2 linked regions of the Saccharomyces cerevisiae S288C genome follow. The gene in region 2 interacts genetically with the main gene of each other region. Each region holds a gene or a part of one and is shown on either strand. Other genes may lie near its edges.

What was found.
Region 1: mutations in SMA1 (region 2) and ASI1 together harm fitness more than expected from each alone (negative genetic interaction), as found in Saccharomyces cerevisiae (2 studies listed by BioGRID).

What each region holds. Positions count from the first base shown.
Region 1 is NC_001145.3:503,576-507,811, reverse strand, and holds ASI1 (putative ubiquitin-protein ligase ASI1), read right to left. Parts: upstream 2,480-4,236; coding exon 605-2,479; downstream 1-604. Other genes in the region: bifunctional phosphoribosylaminoimidazolecarboxamide formyltransferase/IMP cyclohydrolase ADE17, read left to right, coding at 1-310. UniProt on the Saccharomyces cerevisiae protein: E3 ubiquitin-protein ligase which transfers ubiquitin to substrates promoting their degradation.
Region 2 is NC_001148.4:497,569-500,963, forward strand, and holds SMA1 (Sma1p), read left to right. Parts: upstream 1-2,096; coding exon 2,097-2,834; downstream 2,835-3,395. Other genes in the region: ATP-dependent RNA helicase SUV3, read left to right, coding at 1-151; ERG10 (acetyl-CoA C-acetyltransferase), read left to right, coding at 528-1,724; putative serine/threonine protein kinase SKS1, read right to left, coding at 3,107-3,395. UniProt on the Saccharomyces cerevisiae protein: Involved in spore and ascus formation. Required for the efficient assembly of the precursors of the prospore membrane to a continuous prospore membrane.

The sequences.
Region 1 (4,236 bases), on a different chromosome or scaffold from region 2:
CGATTTATTCGTAACCGGCCAAATTCCAACAGAAGAACCAGAATTGTCTGAATACCAATCGAAGTTCGAGGAGATTCCAAAACCATTTACTCCAGAAGAAAGAAAGGAATGGTTGAGTAAATTAACCAACGTTTCTTTGTCATCGGATGCATTTTTCCCATTCCCAGACAATGTTTACAGAGCAGTTAAATCCGGTGTCAAATACATTGCCGCTCCATCTGGTTCTGTCATGGACAAGGTTGTATTTTCAGCTGCCGATTCATTCGATTTGGTTTACGTAGAGAACCCAATCCGTTTGTTCCACCATTAGATGGCATGAGTTCAGAGTCAATATGCCATAAATACAGAAATGACGGCAAATCGATGTATAGTTTATTCTTTCCTCCTCTAATGATATAATCGCCACTGACACTTTTATATATATACTAATGATACGATATGTTATAAGTACAATTTTAATTCGAACATTTCCCAAAGAAAAAAAACTTGATTTATTATTATGATGTTTATATGTGCAACACAGAAAGCTCTAGCTATAGTAATTAATGCTAGAGCTCCCAAACGAAAAACCTCTTTTAGATACCATGCAAAAGTTCTTAAACTATTATTTACTATCTGAAACAGGATGAACCTTACAGTACCCATGAACTTTACTCCTACAACATACGCAAGTGCTGAACCCACGTAAACCCAAAGAAATTCTGCAATCCTCGCAAATGGCAAAACATCGGCAGGGCCATAATACTGTATTTCTTTCATTGACTTTGCATACCGCGCAAGATAGATCAAAATCACTTTCTGTACCAAAAGTCTCATCTACTTCACTTAACTTTGTATCTAAGATAGACGCCCTTGTCAAAGTTTTATCTGACAGTAATTTTTGTTGAAGGATACGGCTAGTTGACATGATCCAATTATAATCAGTATGAACTTCATTATCTTCGGAAGAAAATAAATCCAGTAGGGCATCCCGAGTTTCGTTGAAAATCAGTGAATCTTCTTCCAAGTTTTCTTCATCAGAATCCCCCAGTGACTCAACTTCAGAAGGCTCGTAATCTTCAGAATACTCATCATCTGATGTGTTCAATAGTTCAAGTTCAATATCTTCTTTGTGGCCGGCACTATTATTGAGAGAGTTCGTTTTAGTTATCTTTAACATTTTTGATGGGTCGTTGTCGGGGATGTCCTCGTCCTTGTTATCTCTGAAGCCAAAGAATACTTGGCCTACAAGCTTCTTCATGATCCATATTATAGATTTTGGAAACATTAAAAAAAATCTTTGCTTTAATATTGATGAATTTTTCTTTGGGAAGCTGATGGAAGTGTTCTCTTTATACGGTTTAGAAAGTTCATTTAAATAACCGCTAATAAAAAATTTCTCATTAACATTATCCGGGATGTTAATAGCAGGAAATTCTCTTCGTATACCCTTTTCCATTAGTTCAGTTCCTGAGCATAATAATAGTGCGAATTTAGTGGCCATAGCAGAAAAATCTTCTTCTCCCGTGTAATTTAAGTATTTTTTCCAATTTCTACTGAGAGGGTAAAACTGTAAAAGTTCGCAAGAATTACGTGATTTTCCAAATGGATCCCATCTAATTAAGCATGATAATTTAAAAATCAGTAATGATAAGCAAATAATAGACACTGAAAACAGTTTTGGAAAGTGCCTAAATTTCACCGAAAATGGAAGGCTTTTCCAGCCGCCCTGCTTAACTCTTATCCCTAAGTAACAAATATGACAGAGGTTCATAATAGTACTAAAAAGTAGACGATAATTTCTAAGCCTGAAAATCTCCACCAAATGGATCAATATCCTGCTCAAAATAGCCATAGAACAGTCTATAATGTAATCAGGAGAATCTAAAAATTTAGTATTATTATTAGTCATTGTATAAAACTGAATCGAAAGTTCAAACAATGAATAGTCAGTGCCCTCCAAAGGGCTGGAATTCCGCATGATGGTAAATATGGTTTCGACACAATAAGAGTAAGCGAAAGCGTAGAATATATTCAGTAAAAATTTTTCTTGGGCAAAAGCAGGGTCGCCTAATATTTTGAAATCCTTACCCAAGGTCAGCGGACCTAAGGATACCATTGCTAATACAACTACTGCTGATACATGGAAAACATTACTCAACCATAACGGTAAAGTACGTCTGGAACCGTTGTTAAGGACGGCGTAAAATACAACGAACCGGTTCAGGACAATGGCGATTACAAAGCAAAATATGGCGTACGGGCTGAAAAAAAACCCTATTGTATCAAAAACAGACCTTAGAGTTGGGGGAATTTCTTCAGATTTAACGGTTTGCTCGTACTGCAAGTTCACAGCCCCAATAAAGGATAATCCAAGTCTATAAGGAAAGTTGATAACATTTGCGAAAGTGGAGTTACCTGAGATTACGGCTTGTGATGTTTGATTCAAATAGCTAAATGAATTTATGAACACATTTTCTGAAGAAGTGGAAGAGTTCATATTCTTAGCATAGTTTCTTTGTAAAAAGAAGAAAAAAACCCAGATAAAATTAAGAAAAATACCCCAAAGTGCAAATTGTCTATAAAATATAAAAGTAAGCAGTGATTATCTTCTTGAGTTAAAATTGTTGTGTGGTGAAAGAGTAATTTTAGTACTTCCTTCTATTTTTCTGTTCAAAACAATATAGTTTTCGTAATTGTGTTTTATTGTATTTTCCAATGTTTTTCATATTGCTTACTCAACTGACTTCAAAGTTTGATTCGTAGCTTCTCAATATTTCAACATAAAGGGGCGCCCTCAAAGGAATACGCGAGAAAAAAATAATGGTTGCTAAGAGATTCGAACTCTTGCATCTTACGATACCTGAGTATTCCCACAGTTAACTGCGGTCAAGATATTTCTTGAATCAGGCGCCTTAGACCGCTCGGCCAAACAACCACTTATCTGTTGAAAAGGTGTGACTATAGCAACTATAAGTTGTTATGAGTTGAATAGAATTTAAACTCATTATGGGATAAGCTGCTCGTCTATGCATTGGTAAAAGCACCTCGTTAATATGTAAAGGTCAAAAGGTCATATCAGCGAATAATAAATTTGGATCTTCCTATACTATATAAGAGAGGTTCACTGAACGCAGTCCGATCGGTTTATTATTTGAGATATAGGTGAATTTTGAGATAATTGTTGGGATTCCATTGTTGATAAAAGATTATAATATTAGGTAAACAGAATATACTAAAAGTTCTCCACGAGGACATAGGAATCCTCAAAATGGAATGTATATTTTTACATACTAATATTACGATTATCCCTCTTTCTATTTTATATGTTTCATTATCCTATCATATTATCAATCTTTGCATTTCAGCTTCTTCTAACTTTGATGACAGCTTCTCATAATTTATATCATCATCTAACACCGTCTATGATAATATATTGATAATATAACTACTAGTTGATAGACGGTAGTGGATTTTTATTCCAACATTATTAATCGTGACTAATATAACAAGTTCTCTGGTGGTTACCATATATTTAATGTAAAGACTCGCATGACACATATATATGACTACCACATAAATGTTTAATTTGAAAAAACTTCAGCTCTACTAAGGTACCTGTTGAAAATATCGAAATCCACAAGGACAATAATTTTGCTTGGTAATATTATTATTTTTCTTCCATTGTTTATGTTGATAATTAGAGGTTAAAAATTAGTATTAATGAAGAAGTGAGTACTGATCTTCTTATACTAAATAAGAGAGGTATATAAAACACACGCCGATTGGTCATATTAATTATGACCAATATAATAGTGATTCCGGTAGTTACTATACATTGATGTGACGACTCATATTCCTCATATATGTACCTACCATAACATGTTCAACTAATAGGTCTTTAACACAGCTTCAGTATTGTCTGAGCTTCTCGTTTAACATTCCTTCTGCAATAGGCGCAATCACACTTAAACGTATACGAGTTGTACATTAATATACGATGTAAGCATTAGATTGTTACCATAGCAACTCATGTCACTATTAATTACTCTCGTTCCAACAGTTTATTATATTATCAACCCTGTTTTTCATCTTCCATGGAATTTGGTAACTGCTCCTCACCGATTTATGTCATCTTGCTATTATATGGTAATATACCAAATGTGAAGGTATGCAATTGATATTTTTAGATTTTACCTTTTGGCAAAAAATCAGCACATTAGCAATAAGAAACCGTTTTATCGTTTTGTTCATTTT
Region 2 (3,395 bases):
TGACATGGAATCTGCTAAAGATTTGAAGTATTTCTGTGAGATGATTATTTTCGAGAAACTTGATCGATTAAAGAAGAATCCTTACGCACATAAGCCCTTTGGTTCTACAAGAGGTCACCTCTCATCTTCGAGAAGAAGATTGCGTACATAATCTACGATATATCCTGTAAATAGAAACAGCTACACTGCTTGAAAGCCTTAACATGATACATTTCTGGTATGATGCCATTGTTGTGCCCTGCCGGGTTTATCGTTTCCTAACAGGCACGTCACTTATAACGAGGTGCCTGTCGTTTACCGCCCAAGCCGGTTTTTTCGCTGGAGAGTACGGTACTACTAGCCCACCACACGTTCGTGGCCAGGTTGATAGGCCACCGTTGAGCAAAGGGCAGTAAAATATATAAAAGAGGAACAAGCGCTTCCATTAAGAGCACTGCTAAGCCTACTCGTTTTCTAGTTCTCTGAAAAAAGGTAGCCTAAAACAAGCGCCATATCATATATATTTATACAGATTAGACGTACTCAAAATGTCTCAGAACGTTTACATTGTATCGACTGCCAGAACCCCAATTGGTTCATTCCAGGGTTCTCTATCCTCCAAGACAGCAGTGGAATTGGGTGCTGTTGCTTTAAAAGGCGCCTTGGCTAAGGTTCCAGAATTGGATGCATCCAAGGATTTTGACGAAATTATTTTTGGTAACGTTCTTTCTGCCAATTTGGGCCAAGCTCCGGCCAGACAAGTTGCTTTGGCTGCCGGTTTGAGTAATCATATCGTTGCAAGCACAGTTAACAAGGTCTGTGCATCCGCTATGAAGGCAATCATTTTGGGTGCTCAATCCATCAAATGTGGTAATGCTGATGTTGTCGTAGCTGGTGGTTGTGAATCTATGACTAACGCACCATACTACATGCCAGCAGCCCGTGCGGGTGCCAAATTTGGCCAAACTGTTCTTGTTGATGGTGTCGAAAGAGATGGGTTGAACGATGCGTACGATGGTCTAGCCATGGGTGTACACGCAGAAAAGTGTGCCCGTGATTGGGATATTACTAGAGAACAACAAGACAATTTTGCCATCGAATCCTACCAAAAATCTCAAAAATCTCAAAAGGAAGGTAAATTCGACAATGAAATTGTACCTGTTACCATTAAGGGATTTAGAGGTAAGCCTGATACTCAAGTCACGAAGGACGAGGAACCTGCTAGATTACACGTTGAAAAATTGAGATCTGCAAGGACTGTTTTCCAAAAAGAAAACGGTACTGTTACTGCCGCTAACGCTTCTCCAATCAACGATGGTGCTGCAGCCGTCATCTTGGTTTCCGAAAAAGTTTTGAAGGAAAAGAATTTGAAGCCTTTGGCTATTATCAAAGGTTGGGGTGAGGCCGCTCATCAACCAGCTGATTTTACATGGGCTCCATCTCTTGCAGTTCCAAAGGCTTTGAAACATGCTGGCATCGAAGACATCAATTCTGTTGATTACTTTGAATTCAATGAAGCCTTTTCGGTTGTCGGTTTGGTGAACACTAAGATTTTGAAGCTAGACCCATCTAAGGTTAATGTATATGGTGGTGCTGTTGCTCTAGGTCACCCATTGGGTTGTTCTGGTGCTAGAGTGGTTGTTACACTGCTATCCATCTTACAGCAAGAAGGAGGTAAGATCGGTGTTGCCGCCATTTGTAATGGTGGTGGTGGTGCTTCCTCTATTGTCATTGAAAAGATATGATTACGTTCTGCGATTTTCTCATGATCTTTTTCATAAAATACATAAATATATAAATGGCTTTATGTATAACAGGCATAATTTAAAGTTTTATTTGCGATTCATCGTTTTTCAGGTACTCAAACGCTGAGGTGTGCCTTTTGACTTACTTTTCCGCCTTGGCAAGCTGGCCGGGTGATACTTGCACAAGTTCCACTAATTACTGACATTTGTGGTATTAACTCGTTTGACTGCTCTACAATTGTAGGATGTTAATCAATGTCTTGGCTGCCTTCATTCTCTTCAGGCTCTATTAATTTTAACCGTTATAAGTTCCTTTTCTCCCTTGGAAGCAAACATCAACTGCCTTAAAATCTGGTGGCGAGGAAAGAGGAAATGGCATGTACTAATGATGGTCCTAATAAATATCCCGAAATTGTGAGTGTTAAGCACCTGTTCCAACATTCGGGATCCAAGCATGAATTTAGTGCTGGTAAACGATTTTCAAAATCCATTGGTAAAATATTCAAACGAAACTCTGCTTTGAAAACTTCTAGAACTGAAACGGCAAATCATAAAATGGAATTGAAAAAAAGAGAGGGTGTTACCTTATTGCCACCTGTCCCAGAATCATTATTACATAAACTCAATTCTTGGTTGGAAACTTTTTCTTCCACCAAGAACATGAAAATCGAAGAAAACAAAATTGTTATTAATGAAAAAGAGATTCGGGATTCAGTCTCTTACTACCCTGATAAGAATGGAGGAAGTGCTGTATTTTGTTACTTGCCCGACCTTGTGCTATATTATAAGCCGCCTATAAAAGTCACAGGCAAGCAATGTCCAATAAAGAGAAGTCCTTGGGAATCGATGGAAATCCAATATCAAAAGTTTATGTACCCCTTAGAAAGGTTGGAAAGACAGTTTGAGGAAGTTCCATTTAGGCCCTGGTATTTTGCAATGCGATTAAAGGAACTTTACAGATGCTGTGAAAGGTCTTTTACTAACGCGGCAAATAGAGGAAAGGCAAGGTTATTGCGGGGGAAGCAAAGGACGAAAAAATCGTATCATAAGACTGTCAACCTGGTATCAGCGAAGATTTCCACCCATTCAAATGCGCCGTCGCCGGGCTGAGAAACAAAAAAAGTGACTAAGTTCTGTCATTCTATCATTATTGTAATTAGTTATGTAGGACATATATATCCATAGTGATCTCCTTTTGATCAAAGAAGACACTGAAAAGTCGTAAGTTCGTAAAAAAAGTATGAAAATCGTTCCAGCCATTGCTTATAGCCATCCTAGTAGGATACTAGAAAAAAAACAAACCTCAAAGATAAAAAGAAAAGGTGAAGCTATTACCGAATTAGAACATAAGATAATACAGTGAGTATAAAGGTGAGACCTGCTCAATAATCTGGTAACCATTTCTCGTTTGGACCGTCTGTTAAAGTAGAAAAATTCATTTGTAAGCATAATAGCCTATTTCTTAATGTATCTTGTTGGAATTTGCAATCTTTGGAAGCACTAACGTCATCGATATCAGATTGGTAAGGTGTACTGTCCATTGAGGAAGTTAAAAAGGTACTATTATTGTGGTTGTTAGTGTATTCATACTTTTCCATACTTCCGTCACTATTATACGTTGATGGAATATCACTCTCCGGTTCAGCATCTTCCTCTTCTTGCTGCTGTTGT